Linked DNA regions of Mus musculus: all the other regions are reported to be linked to region 3. Evidence: microRNA targets listed by miRTarBase, many of them from high-throughput screens and not tested one by one. Region 3 holds a microRNA gene; each other region holds the end of a gene's coding sequence.
The links. Region 3 holds the annotated microRNA mmu-miR-338-5p (AACAAUAUCCUGGUGCUGAGUG, at 2,031-2,052, shown strand). A microRNA usually pairs through its seed, bases 2 to 8, with sites in the 3' UTR of a target mRNA and lowers its output. Matches are read on the target gene's strand: a 7mer-m8 pairs with bases 2 to 8, a 7mer-A1 pairs with bases 2 to 7 and ends in A, and an 8mer does both.

Region 1 (3,219 bases), not on the chromosome of region 3:
ACACCAAGTTCCTTGAAGATCAGCCACACAGTTGAACGATTGAGTAACAGGAAGCAGCTGTTATCTGGGGGAGCACTCAATGCTCCTCCTTACGTGGAGTGTCCCCAGGGCTGAAATTAGCATGCTTTGTGAACTCTTACACTAGAAGGTTTCAGAAATCGTGTGAGCCATAACTGAGAATATACTAATACGATTTTATGTTTTTCCTAGCATGTTCCACCTTCCCTCTTCACGGAACCTAATGAAATATCACAATATTTACCAATTAAGGAAGCAGTTTGTGAGAAGCTCGTATTTCCAGAAAGAATTGATCCTAACCCAGTGGACTCACAAAGTACGCCCTCAGAATAAAATGTGGTACAGCAGACTCTCTCCATGTGGAACCTGACTGGAAACCTTGGCTATTTGTAGGGGTATTTTTATTATGAGAATTAATTTCCTTGCTTATGCGCAGATTTTCTGTAGCCTTAAAGGAAAATAAAAGATTGCTGCAGGCAGGTTCCACACAACTCCTGTTTATCCTGTCTGTTTTCAAGTTCCTGCTCCAGAGAGAGATGTGCTCTGGAGCTTACGTCAGCAGTGATGTGTGTGGGTCTCATGAGGGGACATGGTCTGCATCCGGCCTGAAGCATCGTCTTCACTGTGAGGAGGCTGACTGTAAGGCTGTCACTGAGCCCCGATGCCTGGGACCTGCCGGCCGCCATAGGATGCTGACTGCATGCTGATGTGCTACTCTGGCTCTTGGCTGTGGGCTTTCTGGTGTTTGTTCGCACTTACGGAGAGTTGTGACATGTCACCTACAAAATTAATCTTGTATTAGTCATTAGTTGGAGTTTCTGGGCAACATATTGTGTGTGTTTGTACACACAAGTATTTTTTAAATCTTTTCATTTAAATGTCTTTGTCTCTGAGTAGTGTTAGATTACTTATTTTGATAATTCATTGTTAAAAATTGTGGAGAATTAAAATAAAATAATTGACTTTTTAAAAAAAATTAAAGAGGTGGGCGGTGGGGAGGAGGAGTGTGCATCTGAAGATTGTATTAGTGTATCCCTGTGAGGAGTACCCAGGTGTGTCCTTGGCCATTTCTAAATATGACATATGCCATTTTATATTTATTTGTCCAAGTGTCTTTTGTAAGAGGAGAATAAATAATAAGGAATTATGTATTCATAGTTTGCTGTTTATTTCAGCTTTTCTTAGACTTACTTGAAGATTGGATTAGGATGTATCGTTCTCATTTATTTTGTTCTGAACCCGTTCAGTATTGCAGACACATTTCCCACGCAGATTACAAATGGAAACTGCTAGGTATGAACGCGATCCCCTAGTTTGTTCGCCTTTAAGCGCCTGTCTCTCTTCTCCCTCTGCTCCTTACACTCCTGAGGGCACTTTTAAGTAGTCAGAACACATGGGTACATGTCATGCATAGCATCCCCTTCAGTTCTGAGTACCGTGTTCTCTGATGTGGTATAAGGGATTACATAATGAAGCGATAGAATGTGGTTGGTCCTTTATACGGCGAGTGCTGTGTATGTGGAGTCATCCGGCTCCTCATCAAACAGTTGAAAACATCCCAGCGATTATGACCACGCACAGACTTTCTGTTGTCATTCCCTGACTGTCAGTTTTAGCTATTTGCCTTGTATTAGGTATTATGAGTGAAATACAGGGTAATTTATAGTGTATGAGAGGATCTGATGGCTTATTTTTTATTTTGGTATTTATGTGAATGTGAACCAAATCTCCTATGGTGACCGAGACAACTTTTTGTGGGGTTAAGGTCCGCCAGAGAATGCAGAAGCATCTACACGTGGTGTCAGATGTGATGGCAGAAATAACAACTTGAGAAAGATGGGAGGAGCGACTTTGGTATTCCTCTCTGCTTTTGAAGAAGCTGTCGCAGGCCTTGAGATTGTCATTACCATAACCAGGGAAAAAGCCAGGCAGTCAAAAAAATTACCATGCCTTGAACAACTGAAAGTGGGATTACAAAACAAACTGAATCTCAAAGAATGGGAAGCTCCAAGGAGAAAAAGGACAGAGACTGCCTCCTCTTCAGAGCACAAGAGAAAGGTGGCTAATATCACCACAGCCAACATCTTACTTCAAGATAATCACATCATTTAGTCTTCCCTTCCGTCCTCTCAGCCTGTCATATGCTCCTCCCTGCTCTTTTCAAATTCATATATGCATGACTGTCTAGCTTCTAAATATATAAGTACAACCTGCCCACACTGTATAATGTTACTTGCATGTATGTTTTCAGGGCTGACCATTTGAAGTTAGATAACTAAATTATGCTGTTCCCTGGGGAAGAGTGTTTGCACCTGTCTCGACATTCCTTAATTTACTGTAGTTCATTGTGTAGGATCATTTTACAAGTTCTTTTTTTTTTAAAAAAAAAGATCTATTCTGTATATTTGAGTACACTGTTGCAGTCTTCAGACATACCATAAGAGAGCATCAGATCCCATTTCAGATGGTTGTGAGCCGCCATGTGGTTGCTGGGAATCGAACTCAAAACCTCTGGAAGAGCAATCAGTGCTCTTAACAGCTGAGCCATCTCTCCAGCCCCATTTTATAAATTCTTAAAGGCTGTGTGAGGACTAGTGTGTCATTTTTGGAATAGCTACAAGTCTCATTTAAGGGGACTTACTAACTTTCTCAGTTAAGGATTTGCCTCTTAGATCCAAAGGTCTGTGCCTGGAAAAGAACCAAGCGGAGCTCACGAAAGTCCTGGTAAGGAGGCCAGGCAAGCAGGAAGTAACTGGGGACAGGGGTAAAGCCCTGCCCACCTACCCTAGGTTCCGAGCTCTGAAGGGTTTAAATGCCTTAGGGTGTTGTGGGGAAAGCTGCAAAAACCTGTTTTCATCCCTATTGCATCTGACAAAGCCTACTTGCCCCTGGAGGAGGAGTGGAGGGAGAGTCCTGGACAGGCAAAGGACAATTCCTACCAAAGAAGGAATGGAAGCCAAACTTGGCTGACTTGATGAGGAACTGGAAAGCAGCGTGGACCATAGTTGCATATGCAGAATACTGAGGACTGCTGCCTCTGGTGGGAGGGTGCTGGTGACGTTCTTCACTTGGGACCATTGATTTAAGGTTGGGTTTCCCCCGATTGCTGAATGAGGTGCAAGTGTCGAGAAGGCCACATCCTGAAAACCAGATACGGCTGCCCACAGCAGGCTAGCCAAGGTCAACAGAGAAAACTTTCCT
Region 2 (3,219 bases), not on the chromosome of region 3:
CACATGATCGAGCCCAGTTAGCTATCTGGAAGCAATGCTCAGGTTTGACACTAGCAGCAGAAATGCTGGACTTTTTTTGATGCAAGGCTCAGGGCTGGGTCCAGATGGACCAATGGCAGCATCATAGTAGAAGCCTCTAGAATGCTTTGTGTGTCAGCAATCCCTGGCACATTTTCTGGGGGTCAGATGACTGGCTAAAGGCTGTTCTCTCACAGTGTTAGATACTCTTCTTTTTATGGTGTCCAGATGAAGGTCGAAGTGTATTAGGTATGTTCTTGGGCCTGTTTGGGTTTTTTCTGATATAATTCTAACACATTCATGTATCTGCATGTTCCCTGTCTACTTTGGTGAGTTGGTAGGTAGTACGGTTTTCCTTGAAAGAATATCCTAAGCCTAACCCATGGTTCATGTTGGACATGGTAGTAGTGTTTGTGCATACCAACACAGCATGAAGAGTCTGCCTCTGGATTTTTGTATTGCTCATGTAAAGGGAGGCAGATTAAGGGCAAGGCCACCTAAAAAGCAATCAGTCGCTGGGCGTGGTGGCGCACGCCTTTAATCCCAGCACTTGGGAGGCAGAGGCATTCGAGGCCAGCCTGGTCTACAAAGTGAGTTCCAGGACAGCCAGAGCTATACAGAGAAACCCTGTTGCAACAAACAAACAAACAAACAAACAAAAAAGCAATCAGTCGTTGCCTCATACGGTATGAAGTAGATTGAAGTAACTCCGTCTCTCCACTCAGCTATGCCTTTCATTGATGAAGGCAAACAGGTGCTAATCATAGCCTTCATTGCTCATTCATTCATGCGTAAAAAAGTTGCCTCAAAACTTAGCTTTAAAAACAAGTTATTGAGCTAGAGGTTAGAGGTCTGTGGGTCTCAGGATCTGGTAGCAGACTTGGGAAACAGGATCCTAGGGAGCCTGGACAACTCCCTTCAGCGTCTGACCATCCTGAAAGAGTACAGTAAGCAGGGTGTCTATACGTTGCTTTTAGTGGCGCACACCAAAACCCATTTTGACATTTACTTTAGGTCACGGAGAGGTAGAAGGCAAAATTAGGTTTTACAAAAATAAAACAAGCTTCCAACAGCCTGTCAAGTTAACTACAGCTCAGATTTGAGCTGCATTAGCAAAGACTGCAAGCATTAGCTCTGCCCATTCCTCTCCTGGAAGTGACCGCTAAAGGCTTCAGTATGTGTTTGAAATCACATATCTTACTTCTTCCCTTGCAGGATTAGACCTCACGCTCTTATAATTTCCATGTTCCTTACACTTATTTCTATAAACACGTTAAAAGCCACTACCTTCCTGAAAATCATGCTGCATTTTGAGGACAGTTCTTATTCAGATTAGCCGTCTTTGTAGAAAAACGGATGCAAGGCTACCGATGGCTAGGTGCAGTACTCCTTTCCACCAGCAGATGGCGGCCTTATCCCAGTCTACCTTAGATCCTGCTTAGCAAATTCTTGGAAAAGCAGTCTGATACAACTCTTAATAAGATTAAATGTGTCAGGCTGAATTCCAACTCCTCATTTTCCTGAAATATACAATCCCTCCCCGCACAATGAATACTCAAAATGTGTGAAGACTTGCATTAAAATGTTCAGTTTCTTATTAAGTCTTGTGCCACACATAAAAGTTTTAAGTTCGCACGCACACACGCACGAATGCACGCTCACACACTTACCCCTATGAATGATCTTTTTGTGGAACAACATTAAATAAATGTTGGCTTGAAATGAGTCAACTCCTCCAGCAATGGTAACTTTAGAATGAAAGGAACCTACTAGGGACCACGTGTTAACGGGTGGCATAGTACTAAGCTAAATGGTGTTTTGGAAGCAATAGTTGGTCTTTTAAAACACACACACACACACACACACACATCCCTACACAAGAAGAATTCACTTCATTCCTTCAATATGGCAGATGCTCACCTCCAGTCCGGCAAGAGAACAGTGAATTTGCTTCCTGTCTGTGTATTCCTTCTTGGAGTAAGCAGTTTGTAGTGTCATGTTACATGAATCCAAATTCAGCATTCATTGTTTAAAGAGACAAAAAAATATGAAAAATATTTGCGACTGTTCCCAGATTTTATCTCTGATGGGTTGGAAATCATCTCGAGCAGGGCTTTACTGCAGCCACTCAAAGACGGGACGCCGGACGTCTAAAGAAAACGCTGACTCACTCGTGACTAAGATGAAGGTTACAAGGAAGACTAAACATTTATTTAGAAGTTACAGTGTTTGTTTTTACAGAGATATGTTGCCACCGATTATTGATTCTGGGAGACTGTTAATGCTTAGAGTGCTGTACACATCTGGGGCTTTTCTCGTGACATCTTGGAAACCTGTCCTGTGCCACCAAATTGGAGTGGCTTCCAGGTGGCTCCAGTCTGCGGCATGATGGCCTTTGCTTTATCCCTGTGTTCTTCATGAACAGTGTGCTTAGGGTCCTTCCACCAAGTGGCCCGAGGGCCTCCTGGTGTCCGTGGTAGCTGCAGGTTCTGGGATCCATCTGCAGCCTGACCATCTATGATACTCATTTCCACTGGTCTCCAGTTACTCAGCTGCTTGCTTTCTGTCTTGTGCCAGAAAGGGGAGGATTCCATATCTCTCCAGAATTATAGAAACACATATACATTTATTTACAAGTGCATAAATATATAAATATGGCTATAATAGAAAAATAAATACCAATTTTTCTCTGTCAACAAACAAACAAACAAACAATATATAGTCTTTCTGGGATATTAGCTTCGGCCTAAATTGTGGGAGGTGGTGTTTCAAAGGACACATGAACTGATGGGCTAGGCGAGAACCGCATCCCACGTTCCTGTCCTGTGTAGGTCCCTGATGGATGCTGGGAACTCCAGTCTCCTCCACCCACTTGGCAGGAGTCAGAACTGTCTACTTCTTCAACTGGTACAAGACCTAAACAGCACTGGGGCCCTGTGAGGGGAAAACGTAGGCGACATTAAAATCTAGACTCACTATGCAGTCCTGCGCTACTCTCTACCTATAGCTGGTCACACTGGCCCTGGAAGGGGAGGACCCTTACAATTCATCTATGTTGGGACCAAAGGCATTAGACTTCAAAGCACTCGACTTGTAGCCATCAGCTACGTACACACAAAACACAAAGGGATGCCCGGCTCTCTCTAGCCAGGCTGTGTTCTACCTCACGATCCAACCAAACCTTGTTTTCATGACGACTGG
Region 3 (3,000 bases):
GTCGGGAAGATGGAGAGGGAGCGGTGGCTAAGCTGTGTCTGGATTTCTGTTCCACTCTAGTGCAACTTCTCAAGTCCACGGACCTGGGCCGGCACAGCCTCCTGTACTTAAAGGAGATTGGCCACGGCTGGTTTGGGAAGGTAAGCATGCCCCGGGGTGGCAGGAATGGCAAAGGGTGGACCCACTACTCCTGGGGATCCCCTAGGGAGGGGCTCTTTCTAACACCCGCCCCAGACTGGACCATGTACCTGATTCCTTTTTCCTCATTGTAGTCCCCAGGCAGTGAGAAAAGTAGGAGCCTTGTGGGTGGACTGGGGCTGAGGGTTCTAGCCAGAGCTTGGTGAGAAGTTGTATGACCATCTGAGGCCCTGGGCGCTAGATGGCTTTTCCTATGGAGACTGAAAGGGGACCTGGTGATGCCTGTCACATTTGGCAGGTGTTTTTGGGGGAGGTACACTCGGGCGTCAGTGGCACGCAGGTGGTGGTGAAGGAGCTGAAGGTGAGCGCCAGCGTGCAGGAGCAGATGCAGTTCCTGGAGGAGGCGCAGCCCTACAGGTGGGTGGTGTGGCGGGGGCGGGGTGGGGCCGGGCAGGGGAGCAGCACAGTGGGAGAAACTGAGGGCTATGGGACACCCTCTCCTGCCCTCCAACTTAAACACCCGTGGACTCTTCCAGGGCCCTGCAGCACAGCAACCTGCTCCAGTGCCTGGCCCAGTGTGCTGAAGTGACCCCCTACCTGCTGGTTATGGAGTTCTGTCCACTGGTAAGTGGTCCTCTCGGGGAGGTAGCTCTGTCTCTCCCGGTCCTGTTCTGTAGCTCATTGTTCCAAAGGGGAGTGGCTCCTCTCTTGCTCAGCCTCTTGGGGTCTTTTGTTATTTCTAAAGTAGAGTCCTGGTAGTCCTTGCTCTCCCTCAGAGGAGGTCTGCGGAGAGAAAGTGAGCCAGCAGCAGCAGGGGCAACACTGTGGGGTCTTGGATAGTTCAGCGAGAGGTGTCCTGGGACAGCCACAGGGCTCCCGAAGCTCCTGGGGCAGAGCCTGAGTTCTGGGTCTTCGTGTTGCCCCTTGGGCCCTTTACATGCACAGCTCTGGTGGCTGCTTATATGGAGGTCACTGTGCCAGAATTGAGACACAGGCTTTGCTGAAACAGCAGTGAACACTAGGGTTCACAGCTGATCCACAGGCCACCAGACCCAGGTTCTCTTGGTGTGGGTGGCAGACTTGTGATGGGCTGGTCGCTGCAGCTAGCAGGTGACTGTGTGCTCTCTCGTCCATCAGGGGGACCTCAAAGGTTATCTACGGAGCTGCCGGGTGACAGAGTCCATGGCGCCTGACCCACTTACCTTGCAGCGCATGGCGTGCGAGGTGGCGTGTGGCGTCTTGCATCTACATCGACACAACTATGTACACAGGTGAGGGCTAGCGAGACTAGCCAGGCTACAGCTACAAAGCCCCACTCCCCCAGGGCCTTAACCCTCACCATCACACGACCCTGTGCAGAAAAGTCACGGTGATCCCACGTTGTGGGCCTCATGAACTGGGTTCATCTAAAAATAGCCACTCTGCAGGGAACTTTATCATTCTTAGAACTGGGAAAACTAACTGGGCATGGTGGCTCACGCCTTTAATTGCAGCGCTTGGGAGGCAGAGGTAGGAGAATCTCTGTGAGTTCAAGTCCTGCTAGGTCTACCTAATGAACTCCAGAATAGCCAGGACTATGTAGCAGGACCATCTCAAAATGAAATAAATTGTGAAGACTTGGCATTTGAAACTCACCTTGCAGACAGTTAAATGAAGAAACCCATCCTGTCTACTAGAGCAGTCAGCCATACTTGGGCTCCATACCAACCCCAGCCTCTTTCCCTCAGGCCACAAAGGGAGTGGCTGGGCTGGCCCTGTAGTGGGAGGGGTGGCTCTCTCCTGCCTCTGGTGGCCAGGATGCCCAGCCTCCCATGAGCTGGGGGCACATGCTGGAAGAAGTGGCAACGGACAAGCGGCCCACCAGCTCCAACGCTGCACAGGCCGTCCTCCCCAACAATATCCTGGTGCTGAGTGGGTGCACAGTGACTCCAGCATCAGTGATTTTGTTGAAGAGGGCAGCTGCCAGCCTCCTGCCCTGCCTGCTGCCTAGCCCAGCTGCCCCACCCATAGGCATGGACCCAGGTCACCCCACCCTGTCCCCTGACACAGTCCTCCTGGGGTAGAGGCAGGCCAAGGTGGCCCCATCTACATCCAGAGATCTCTCAGCAGAACAGCCAGTATGGCAGATGAGGGTGCGTCCCGTGGCACTCTATTGTCCTGTACCCCAAACACCTGGGGGTGGGGCGCTATAGCCAAGCAAGAGTTATACAGAGCCTGGCATTCCAGGCTTCCCACTGAGTTGGTGATTTTTATCCTCCACACAAAGGGGCCTTTGTGGTCCATACTGTTCTAGACCTCGGCTCCAGCTTGTGTAGCAGGCCAGGCAGGGCTGCACTCTAGAACATGGGCTCTGACTGCTGGCAGGACCCTCTGAGACACTCCGGGCTTCGGTTTCTCCATCAGTTCTTACCTCCTGGGGACTGGGATGGTGGAGTGTAGTCGGAAGGGTGAGGGTCCTGAGAGGACACTGCAGACTCTCTGCTCCATGGCTTGTTGGCCCTTGTTGGGCAGATCAGACAGAGGGTGGAGCGGGTTAGGGCTCTGGTGCAGTTAGACAGCACTTTGCTGGGGGGGGGGGGTCGTCCTTGAGCATCTTTTGCCTGATTTTCACATGCATTGAAGTGCATTGAAAACCGGGCTTGGTGGCGCAAGCCTTTAATCCCAGCACTTGGGAGGCAGAGTCAGGAGGATTTCTGAGTTCGAGGCCAGCCTGGTCTACAAAATGAGTTCCAGGACAGCCAGGGCTACACAGAGAAACCCTGTCTGGAAAAAAAAGAAAAAAAAGAAGAAGAAGAAGTATTAGAAATGCATTGAAGTCCACACAGGTCTTCCAAAATAGCCAGTACAGGGTGTGGAGCCAGA
Region 4 (3,219 bases), not on the chromosome of region 3:
TTTTTTTAAGAGGTGTGTGTGTGTGTGTGTGTGTGCTTGTGTATGTGCATGTTTGTGTTTATGTGTGCTTGTGTATGTTTGATTGTGTGTGAGTATGTGTGTTTGTGTGTGTGTGTATATTTGTGTAAGTATGTGTGTTTGTGTATATGTATGTTTCTGTGTATGTGTTTGTGTGTATGTGTGTGCTAGTTTTGAGTTCTTGATAAAAGTGTATCTGCCAGAAAAAAATGAATAGCTTTTTAAAAAGTTTATGATCATGAATCAAGTATTGAAAAGATAATGTGAATTATTTACTTACCCAGATGAAATTGCTATATTCGTTTTATATTTTCAAGTTCAAATTAATGAACCCTTTCCTCCATAGTGTAAGATGTATTTGGCAGGGCAGATATCAGAGACATCCCTTCATCATTAAATTGGGCAAGGGAACTCACTGGCTCTCAAACTGTTAAATGGATATTAGGTCTTTTAATGAATGGAACAGTTATCTTGGTGCCAGCTTAACTAACAACATTGACATGATTAGCATACATTTTGGCAACAGTTGTAGCACAGGGTCTCAGGAAAAAGAAGCTTTTATGTCTAAGCCTAATTTACTTTAGCTTTCCCTGCTATGTCTGCTTTTAATGTGAACAAAATAATATGCAAAGGAAATCCTACAACAAAATTATTTATGAATACATAATTTTATTAAGGTCATTGATATTTCTCATGCAAGAAATGAAGTTCAATAACCAAACCGCCCCCAAACACATGAACCATGCTCAAATTGTGAAATGAATAGAATGTTTTCTCTTTTTATAATGATGCTAAAAGTCATGAAGCTTGTGGAGGATTTATTTATTTTATTAATGCTGCCTCATGTCTTTTATGTAGCTTCTCCTTTTATTAAAAAAAAAAAAACTAAACAAACTGACTGTAAAAAATGTGTTGCTTCTTTGTTATGTAAGAGTTGTGAATGAACAGTTTATGGGCTTTGATGGTCTTATAAGTCTTTTATTTCAAGTGTCTATCATACAAAAGGAGCATTCATGAAAATATATTGAATTTTTTGTCTTAGATTCTGTTGCCTTATATATTTATTTATCTATATTATCAAAGTGAAGAAAACAAGAATAAGCAATTAATATAAATCTAATATGTCCTGTGTTTATATTTAAGCTTTTTTATCGTGTGCTATTATCTTAAAATATTGCAAGTTAGTGAAACACAATAAGCACAGAGGTTGCTGGGATGTGAGGGAACACTCACAGTGATATTAAGTCTATAATTAGCTAATGGGAATATAGTCATGCATGAATGCAAATTTTCATAGGAACTTAAACATATAAGCAAATTCTCTTCTATATATGTCTACAATTTACACACCCTTAATAATTTACCCAGTGCTTAATTAGGTCATGGATTAGTTTAATATAAACTTTAGCATAGCAGAATACCACTATTTCTCACACTTAATCCTAGAAACAGACACCAATAGCAGGCACTTCAGTGAAAGAACAAGCCAGTGTTCAAATATAAAATGGTAAAAATAATCAAGAAAATGTGAAAATATAAACTTTTAATTTGCAGACATATAAACAATTTTGGTATGGTACAGACACATGAGGGTGATAAGTAAAGCGACTCACTTTGAAGCTAACACATTTCTTGTTTACACAGACAACTTTGCTACAGTTCTTACATAAAATAAAATCCCCATCTCATGCAAAGAAGGAAGCGATAGAAATCACCGACAAACCAGGTTTCTTCATTGCAAAAGACTGGTAAAAACTAAATCATCAAAATAATCTGCAGATGGGCTTACAAATAAAACTTTGGATGTATTCCAGAAGCAAATAGGGAAGCCAGAACTTTAGCTAATCGTCCAAAACAACTACAAAAAGTGTAACTTTCATATAAAATGCCTAACTCAAACAACCAACAGCGTACAGTAGCCTTTTGAAGAATTCAATCTGAATACAACTTTTATTTTTCTTATAGGGTAGATGAACAGAAGTGGACCCACGCTAACATAAAACCCACGGAAAACTTGCTGCTGACCAGCGAAGAGTGCACTAAGATATCATAAACACCAAGCAAGCAAGTAGAGATTGAGACACTGATGTGTGTCTTGATCTTTTACTGAGTACAATGTCTAGATGCTTTTCACGAACGGAAGAATACACAGATGGTTCCTAACCCCATTTAATTCTAGCAAGTGCAGGAGGAAAGCAAACAGAGAGCAGGAGGCGTTACACGAAACATCGCACTCTTCAGCAGGTCAAGTTTATAACACATGGCAATGTGTTTTGATGCTTGCCCCTAAATAATTGTACTTCTTTTCAAAATGCCTTCTCTTTCAAACTAAAATCGGTGTACCTATGAGGTAATACATTTTCTGTTTGCAAGTGGATTTCTTTTCTTTCTTGTCATATATTTAAGCAGAGAATTCAGTTTACCTTAATTTTACATTTAATGTTAAAAACAATATATTTAAAATATACTCTCTCCTTAATTTCCTGTACAACAACTATCATGTACAATGCCACAGATCCCTGCAAAGGGGAAGCTGGTGCCCTCTTGTGGTGAAAAGACATTTTAGAAACAACAAAAATGTACTTCTCTTACCTTAGTCTTGAGTTTTGACAGTCATCTGCTTGGTGTATTAGAGCTGCCAGTTATATCCAACATTTTACATATAGGTATTTATATATATATATAAATAACAATGATATAGCTGTTAGTACTAATTTTCATTTAAAAATTCTGTACACATTTTATAACTTCTGATTTTGCATTAAAAACCTGTAAACAGCTATTTACAATATAGTACAAGTTATAAATTAATTGTCCTTTAGTGGAACTGTGTCAGCACAATGTTGTCTGCTTGACAAAGACTACCTATGGCAGTTACAATGTCCCTCCATGTTATTCCACAATGGCATATCAAATGTTAGAAATATCCACTGGTTTTCTCTCTCTCATACACAAGTCAATTTTTCCTTTCAATGGAATCTGTACTTCCAAATTGTCATCTTCCCTGTGATGCTTTTTACCTTTCCGTAAGCAGATGTATATTCCCATCCCTGTAACTAGTGTGATGGAGCCCAAGCTTATGACTGACAGAGCTACCAATGTGGGCATACAGGACATAGATTCTACCTTCCTATGAGTTGGCTCTATTGAGATTTGTGGTTCTTTCTCTTCTATATTAATTTCTGGCTCCTTTCTCAAAAG
Region 5 (3,219 bases), not on the chromosome of region 3:
CCTGTGGCTTTGCAATGGAGGTTGTGTAGGAATATCACACTTGAGTCTTAACTTTCTCTGATGTGACCCTCACATTGCGCGTGGTTCCAGCTCCCCAGCTGGGTCTTTACCTAATACTATATTGGGCCAGGAGAGTTTGTGGATCCCCAGCCTGGTGGAGCCTGGCTGTGAGCAGCTGCTTCTGGCTTACTGGAGAGGGAGGGCCTGAGCATAGATGGGCATCCAGGCACAGTCGGGCTTCATTTTTCTGACTCTCATTTCTCTTTTCTCCCTGCTCTTTGTCCAGCCTTACTAAAGATCACAGGAAGAGACCAAAGTATAATAAGCTACTTGTGAGTACCTCTCCCCCAACCCCCACCACGTGTGAAGTCCTCCGGGTCTCAGTTGCAAGACCAGGAGGACTGACTCCTCATAATAAGCAAACTCTTGGGCCTACAGGAACACAGCTTCATCAAGCACTATGAGATACTCGAGGTGGATGTCGCGTCCTGGTTTAAGGATGTCATGGCGAAGACCGAGTCCCCAAGGACTAGTGGAGTCCTGAGTCAGCACCATCTGCCCTTCTTCAGGTAGCCTCATGGCAGCGGCCAGCCCCGCAGGGGCCCCGGGCCACGGCCACCGACCCCCCCCCCAACCTGGCCAACCCAGCTGCCCATCAGGGGACCTGGGACCTGGACGACTGCCAAGGACTGAGGACAGAAAGTAGGGGGTTCCCATCCAGCTCTGACTCCCTGCCTACCAGCTGTGGACAAAAGGGCATGCTGGTTCCTAATCCCTCCCACTCTGGGGTCAGCCAGCAGTGTGAGCCCCATCCCACCCCGACAGACACTGTGAACGGAAGACAGCAGGCCATGAGCAGACTCGCTATTTATTCAATCATAACCTCTGGGCTGGGGTAACCCCCAGGGGCAGAGAGAAAGCCCCTTGTCCCCATCCCCCCAAACTCCCAGTGTCTGTCCCCTCCACCTTCTCTCGCACACATGCTTGCTCTACGTCTTTCCTTCTGTCCCCTCCCTCTCTACCACTGTCCCTTTCTGGTTCCCCTGTCTCCCTCCCAGCCTCTGAAGCCTGGGTGCCGCCACTCTACCCTCAGTGGAAGGAAGCCCCAGGTTCATCTAGGCTTCCTTAAGTCTTTGTCCTAGGATGGCTTTGTGGGCATTGTGACTGCAGCCAAATGGTTGCTGTCTCTGTGTCTGTCTGTCTCTCTTTGATCTCAGGGGGTCCTTTTGGAGTTTATTGTATTTTATTGTACTTGGTGGGGGTGTGTTGGGGGGGGGGTGTCCTCATGGGGTCGGTACCTTCAGAAAATTTTACCAAAGTAATGTTTAGCTGCTTGTGGTGGCCCCCTCTCCTCCATTGCCTCAGGCATTGGGGGTTGGACTGCTTGCTGCTCCTTGTCATTTCTGGCCTAGGAGAGGCCAGGCTCCATGGGGGACCCTCACATGGGACTGGGAGCTGCTGACAGTTTGGGGTTGAGTAGAAGAGCTCAGGTGGCACAGAGGGAGACCAGGGGCCTCAGCCACACGATGGCCTTCAGGGAAGGTGTATGAGGGATGCAGTAGAGAGTAGCAGGTAGCAGGGAGGGACTGTTGGGAACAGTGACAGGAGGGAATCCTGCCAAGGGGCAGGAGGGGTCCCGAGAAGTCAGGGATTAGGAGTGAAGGGAGTAGATGTGGAGGTCCGAGCATGTGAATCAGGGACGAGACGGACAGGCGTGAATGCAGGGGAGGCCAGAGTATTGGGATGCGACGCGACTTACTCCCAACATGCCCCTGAGCATGCTTTAGCTCACCTAGAGCTGACCAGCTCCAACCCAACCTGTGGCCTGGACTGGGCCAGGTGCCTGTCCCATTGTCCTGCAGTTTCGAGGACAGAGTGGGGTATGTTTCCTTTTTGTTGGTGATGCATGCAGTTCAAGTGGACAAGAGAACAATATAACAAAACAAAAAAATTTACAACCACAAATCCCAGCACCAAAGTTGAGAAACCTTGCTGGAAGTAGCTGATGCAACCATACGTAGGCTTAGGTGACACTGTGGCTCTTAACTGTCCTGTTGACGCCTCTTCATCCTATTCTCACAATGCCGCATGCTTAAATCGTAATAGAAGTCATCTTCTATGCCCGGGTAGGGTAGGGCACCCTCTCTCCTTATCTCCTGTGTTGGGGAGGCGGAATGAAGTAGGGAGAGAGTAGCAAGCCCGGCCCCACCCTTACCATTCTGAGGCTGGCCGCAGCATGGCTAGCCTTTGTGTGTACTTAGGTCACATGGCTGGTCCCAGGGCCAGCACAGGCCCAAGACTGGGCCTGATGGTTTTATTTTTATTTAACTTTATTTTCTGTGTGTTGTCTGTCTGTCTGTCTGTCTGTGTTGTCTTTGTCTACTGCCCTCTAATGTTAAGTGGGAGTCTGGAGGAGTCTCCCACTTCCCCACCTTCTCCCAAGTCCTTCCCTCTGTCACCAGCCATCCCTCAGGCCCAGGCAGAGTGGGTCTCGGGCAGGTAGGGACCTGGAGTGGCCTGGTCCCACCCTCTGACCTCCTCCTCAGGCCACCAGTGTTGCCCTCTTCCCTTTTTAAAACAAAATACCCTTGTTTGTAAATCCTTAGACGCTTGAGAATAAAACCCTTCCCTTTTCTTCCGAGTCTGGTGTCCTAAGCCTGGTAGAGTGTACAGAGATATGGGAAGGGCCTGGGAGGAGGGCTTTTAGTGTGGTTAGGGATGACATTCATGGGAAACTAGCCGGGCCGGGAGCTGGGTGGGAGGTGTTTGGAGTGACCGAAGGCATCAGGCAGCTTTGTGAGGGGCCCCCCTTGTAGAAATTTCAGTACATCAAGAAAGCCCTTATCCATGGCTGGCCTTGAGCATGTGCTCAGATGTCAGCCCCTCCATCCTCCGCCCCCGCTCCCTGCTTCCCAGGGTGGCAGCCTCACCAAGGCCAGGGCTACCTACCCACACCTAGAGGGCTGGGTACAGCCCAGCCAGGTGCTCGCTGCCGGTCTGGAGCACTCGAACCTGGACAGGCCGCCATGGTGGGCACTGCGCTCCTGCTCCTGGCCCTGCTCCCTGGGACCTCCAGTAAGCACGGTACACCACGTGGTACGTAGAGGCTGCCACGGGGTGGGGGCATTGTGTCCCACTTGCCCATTGTCCCTTCTCAACTGCGTTTTGCACCTGGATGTGTGTGGTGGTGTGGGGAGGGGGAGGGGTGCCATCCCTTTT
Region 6 (3,219 bases), not on the chromosome of region 3:
TGGTCACTCTCTTCTGACCCCCACAGGCACCAGTAATACATAGGGTGTACATCCATGCATGCAGGTGAAACATTTATACACATAAAATAAATAAATCTAAATTTTTTAAAGGTGTAAGCCTTCTTCTAGCCCTCATCAAACATACTCGGAACTCTTCTAATGAGGATATGAAGCTGTGTGGGTTTCTGTCACCAGCTCACACTCAGTTCAGAGTTGACTCCATCAACCCCTGAGAGACCCTGGGAGACTAGGTAGGCACTACTGCCTGAGCACCAGCAGCTGAGCATCCTGCCCCTGCCTCCTGCCTCCTGCCTCTCTGCCCTCACCCCTCTCTGGACCTATGATTCTTCCACCAAACCCCATCTTGGTGCCAGTTCTCTCTGTCCTGGTCCCCCTATAAATAGCCATTTTGTCTCCTTGGCGACAGGGAATGTATCGAGCAAGCCTGGCCACCTTCTTTTGTCCTGTAACCAGAATGGCGGCCACTGAGTGGCTAGGTACCCCTGAGCAGAAAAATTGTCCCTCTCTGGGCCTCCATCACCAGCTCTGGAGCCTACATTTCCCCTCTGGGTGTGACCATACTGGACCACCTATGGCTCCCCATTTGGGAGGGTACAGAGCAGGGAGGGGCCTGTTAGGCCAGACAAGAAAGAACAGGGCATGAAGTTCTTGAAGGGGGCCCATTTAAAGGGTATACTGGCGAGGTACCTGTCAAGTGTACCTTGGTTAGGTATCCAGTGTGGGCTCTGTGTGGGCTTCTATGCTCCCCTCCGGGGACCCAGGAGACCAAACTGGACCCTGGAGCTGTGTGGATCTAAGGAAGGTGGCTAAAGTTGGAGGGGAAGATGACCTCCCATTCCTAGGAGTATGCAAGCAGAGGCTGTTGATCCACGGCTGCCCCCAGCCCCTGGAGGTCTCCCCCACCCTCTCTGCCCTCATCTCCAGCCAAACTGGGATCTAGGCCTTCCCCACAGCTCATCAGACACCGAAGCCTGCTTCTTTTCACAACTCTTCAGGCATCTCCTTGGATCCGGGATGTCGGTGTCTTGCTAGGTCTTTGTCAGCAGTCCATGTTAGGAATTGTTTTCCATGGGCGGGGAGCCCTCAGTCCTAGGGCCTTAAGGGGAATGAGGGGAAGGTCCTCAAACCAGTTTGGGAACATTGGTTGGGAGACATGCCTCCTGGCTGCTCAGGTGGGAGAATAGCCTCGGGGTTCCATGGGTATGAAGGAACAAGGTGTACCTTCCCAATACAGCATTAAACCTCTCTGGAAGATACCAGCCTTGGGTGTGGTGATCACAGCACTGGGCTAGAGGGACGTAGATGGTGTATGTTCTTGATAACAGGTGACTGCAGTCTCAGTAACAGGAAGTACTGAGGTTAGCCTCGGAGCAGGACTTACTTCTATCAGTTCTAGAAAGACCAAAGCTACTCACCTCCCCCCACACCCCCCGTGGATGGGACCACCCAGAGAAGGCCACATGAGAGAGAATGGGGTGAGAGGCAAGGGCTGGTGGTGGGAGAATGAAGGCTGGCTTTGTGTTGTAGGGAAAGGAGGCGTCTCCATGTGGGCGGTGCTCTGGGTATAGAAGGGCACACAGACACACCCTGTAACCATTGCACCCTAACCAATTCCACCATGACCACCATGTTCAGAGGAGCCCCTGTTTGTCCCTGTTTGTCCCCACCCCTCAGCTACTAGGTCTGCACACAGGCCCTGGCATAGCCACACCCTCCTCAGCCTCCTCCTGCCTCTAGCTTCTGACCCATTCACACTTGTTCCTGCCCTCAAAGAGGCTGGACACTTCCTTGCCCAGTGTGAGCCACAACTTTTCCCATAGGCTCCCACTGAGCCCATCAAAGCCACGATCCACAATTGCTTGCCTAAATGGGACCCTGAACCACCACTACTACCCCAGTAAAAACCCACAGAACACATGTATTTGGATTTTTTTTCCTTTGCAGATTTTTTTTAGTAGACATAGTCTTTTTTTCTCTCTCTCATTTTACAGCAAACTTTGCAAATATAGATTTTTTTTTCTGTACAATAGAACAGCTACAGTGTACAATAAAGATGGGGTCGAGGTGGAGGGACCACACAATGTTTCCCAGCCTGCACCCCTCTTGCCACCCTGACTGGTCCCCAGGCACAGTCTTCACCTCCCCACTAGAGTCTCACAGGCTCCAGATGCTCCACCCCTCTGCACTCCACAGCCTGGGAGATCATATTTAGGGGGTGCCATGAAGCTGGCTAGACTTGGTCACATGCCCCACGCTAGGTGATTTAGTTCTTTCTTCTTTCTCTCTCTTTTATTTTTTTTAAAGATTTTCACTTTTATATATATATTTTTTAAAAAGGAAGAAAATAAAGAGAGAGAAGAAGGAAAAGGAAGAGAAGACTCAAAACAGGAAAGATAATGGAAAAACTTCCCCTCCCCCACCCCCACCCGTAAGACACAGTTTTCCGAAGTCCCATGTGTGCATGTGTGTGCATGTGCATGTGTGAGTGTGTGCAAATGTTTGTGTGTGCACGCGCACATGCATGTGTGTGCATTTGTGTGTGTGAATGTATGTGTGAGTGTAAGTGTGTGAATGTGTGAGTGTATGTGAGTATGTGAGTGTGTGAGTGTGTGTGTGTGTGTGTGTGTGTGTGTGTGTGTGTCTTGCTTGCTTGCACCAGGCAGCAGGCACATTACAGTTTACATGGAAGTTAGTATATCTACTGTCTCGGCCACCTGCGGCCTCCCCAAGCTGTCCCTGTGGGCCAGGTGCTGTATGCAGCGGCCCCTGGTTGTGCACATATGTTGGATTTAGTGTTAAGTCTCAGTCAGGGATAGCTGCTGTGGGTGGTCTATCCTTTTTGGTCCAATGGGCATCACGAGTTTCGGAGAGGACAGGGCCAGGCTTCCTTGGGCCCTGCCAAAGGGTGGAGGGAGGTTCAGGACTTGTGCTGGGCAGACACGCCTTTCCAGTAGTCTAGGATGTCATGCAGGTCCTCGTCTTTGGCAAACTGAACCTTCTTGCGCAGGGCGTGGCCAGCCGCCATGAACTCCGCATCATCCTTGTGTCTCCGTCGGCTCAGTCTGAGACGCTCCCAGATGCTTGGGGATGCCCTGCAGGTGTACTCGGGGCTGGATGAATAGCTCAGGTTGTGGTACTGTGGGGACAGCTGCGAGTAGACGAGGTCTCGGGGTCGTGGCCGGGTCAGAGGCTCCAGGA

Region 1: miRTarBase lists Tiprl as a target of mmu-miR-338-5p. Seed matches in the 3' UTR shown: 7mer-m8 at 846-852.
Region 2: miRTarBase lists Boc as a target of mmu-miR-338-5p. Seed matches in the 3' UTR shown: 7mer-m8 at 2,730-2,736.
Region 4: miRTarBase lists Pcdh20 as a target of mmu-miR-338-5p. Seed matches in the 3' UTR shown: 8mer at 2,803-2,810 and 7mer-m8 at 2,467-2,473.
Region 5: miRTarBase lists Map2k7 as a target of mmu-miR-338-5p. Seed matches in the 3' UTR shown: 7mer-A1 at 1,235-1,241 and 7mer-A1 at 1,245-1,251.
Region 6: miRTarBase lists Elfn1 as a target of mmu-miR-338-5p. Seed matches in the 3' UTR shown: 7mer-A1 at 2,065-2,071 and 7mer-A1 at 2,044-2,050.

The regions. Positions count from the first base shown.
Region 1 is chr1:165,212,872-165,216,090 of GRCm38, reverse strand. It overlaps Tiprl (TIP41, TOR signalling pathway regulator-like (S. cerevisiae)), which reads left to right. Exons shown (of 7, transcript NM_145513.4): 7 at 211-3,219. The coding sequence ends at 351. Among named protein-coding and RNA genes, the nearest start is that of Sft2d2, 20 kb to the right of the region's middle.
Region 2 is chr16:44,482,848-44,486,066 of GRCm38, forward strand. It overlaps Boc (biregional cell adhesion molecule-related/down-regulated by oncogenes (Cdon) binding protein), which reads right to left. Exons shown (of 19, transcript NM_172506.2): 19 at 2,198-2,952. The coding sequence ends at 2,765. Among named protein-coding and RNA genes, the nearest start is that of Gm30064, 46 kb to the right of the region's middle.
Region 3 is chr11:120,013,868-120,016,867 of GRCm38, reverse strand. Mir338 (microRNA 338) reads left to right here and starts at 2,006; the gene lies at 2,006-2,103. It overlaps Aatk (apoptosis-associated tyrosine kinase), which reads left to right. Exons shown (of 14, transcript NM_001198785.1): 4 at 61-140; 5 at 437-555; 6 at 675-762; 7 at 1,276-1,409. Mir3065 (microRNA 3065) reads right to left here and starts at 2,101; the gene lies at 2,015-2,101.
Region 4 is chr14:88,464,076-88,467,294 of GRCm38, forward strand. It overlaps Pcdh20 (protocadherin 20), which reads right to left. Exons shown (of 3, transcript NM_178685.5): 3 at 672-3,219. The coding sequence ends at 2,929. Among named protein-coding and RNA genes, the nearest start is that of Pcdh20, 5.7 kb to the right of the region's middle.
Region 5 is chr8:4,245,257-4,248,475 of GRCm38, forward strand. It overlaps Map2k7 (mitogen-activated protein kinase kinase 7), which reads left to right. Exons shown (of 12, transcript NM_001164172.1): 11 at 287-332; 12 at 439-2,641. The coding sequence ends at 573. Tgfbr3l (transforming growth factor, beta receptor III-like) reads left to right here and starts at 2,958. Exons shown (of 7, transcript NM_001195258.1): 1 at 2,958-3,096. The coding sequence starts at 3,027.
Region 6 is chr5:139,973,449-139,976,667 of GRCm38, reverse strand. It overlaps Elfn1 (leucine rich repeat and fibronectin type III, extracellular 1), which reads right to left. Exons shown (of 2, transcript NM_001384186.1): 2 at 1,943-3,219. The coding sequence ends at 2,939. Among named protein-coding and RNA genes, the nearest start is that of Elfn1, 67 kb to the right of the region's middle.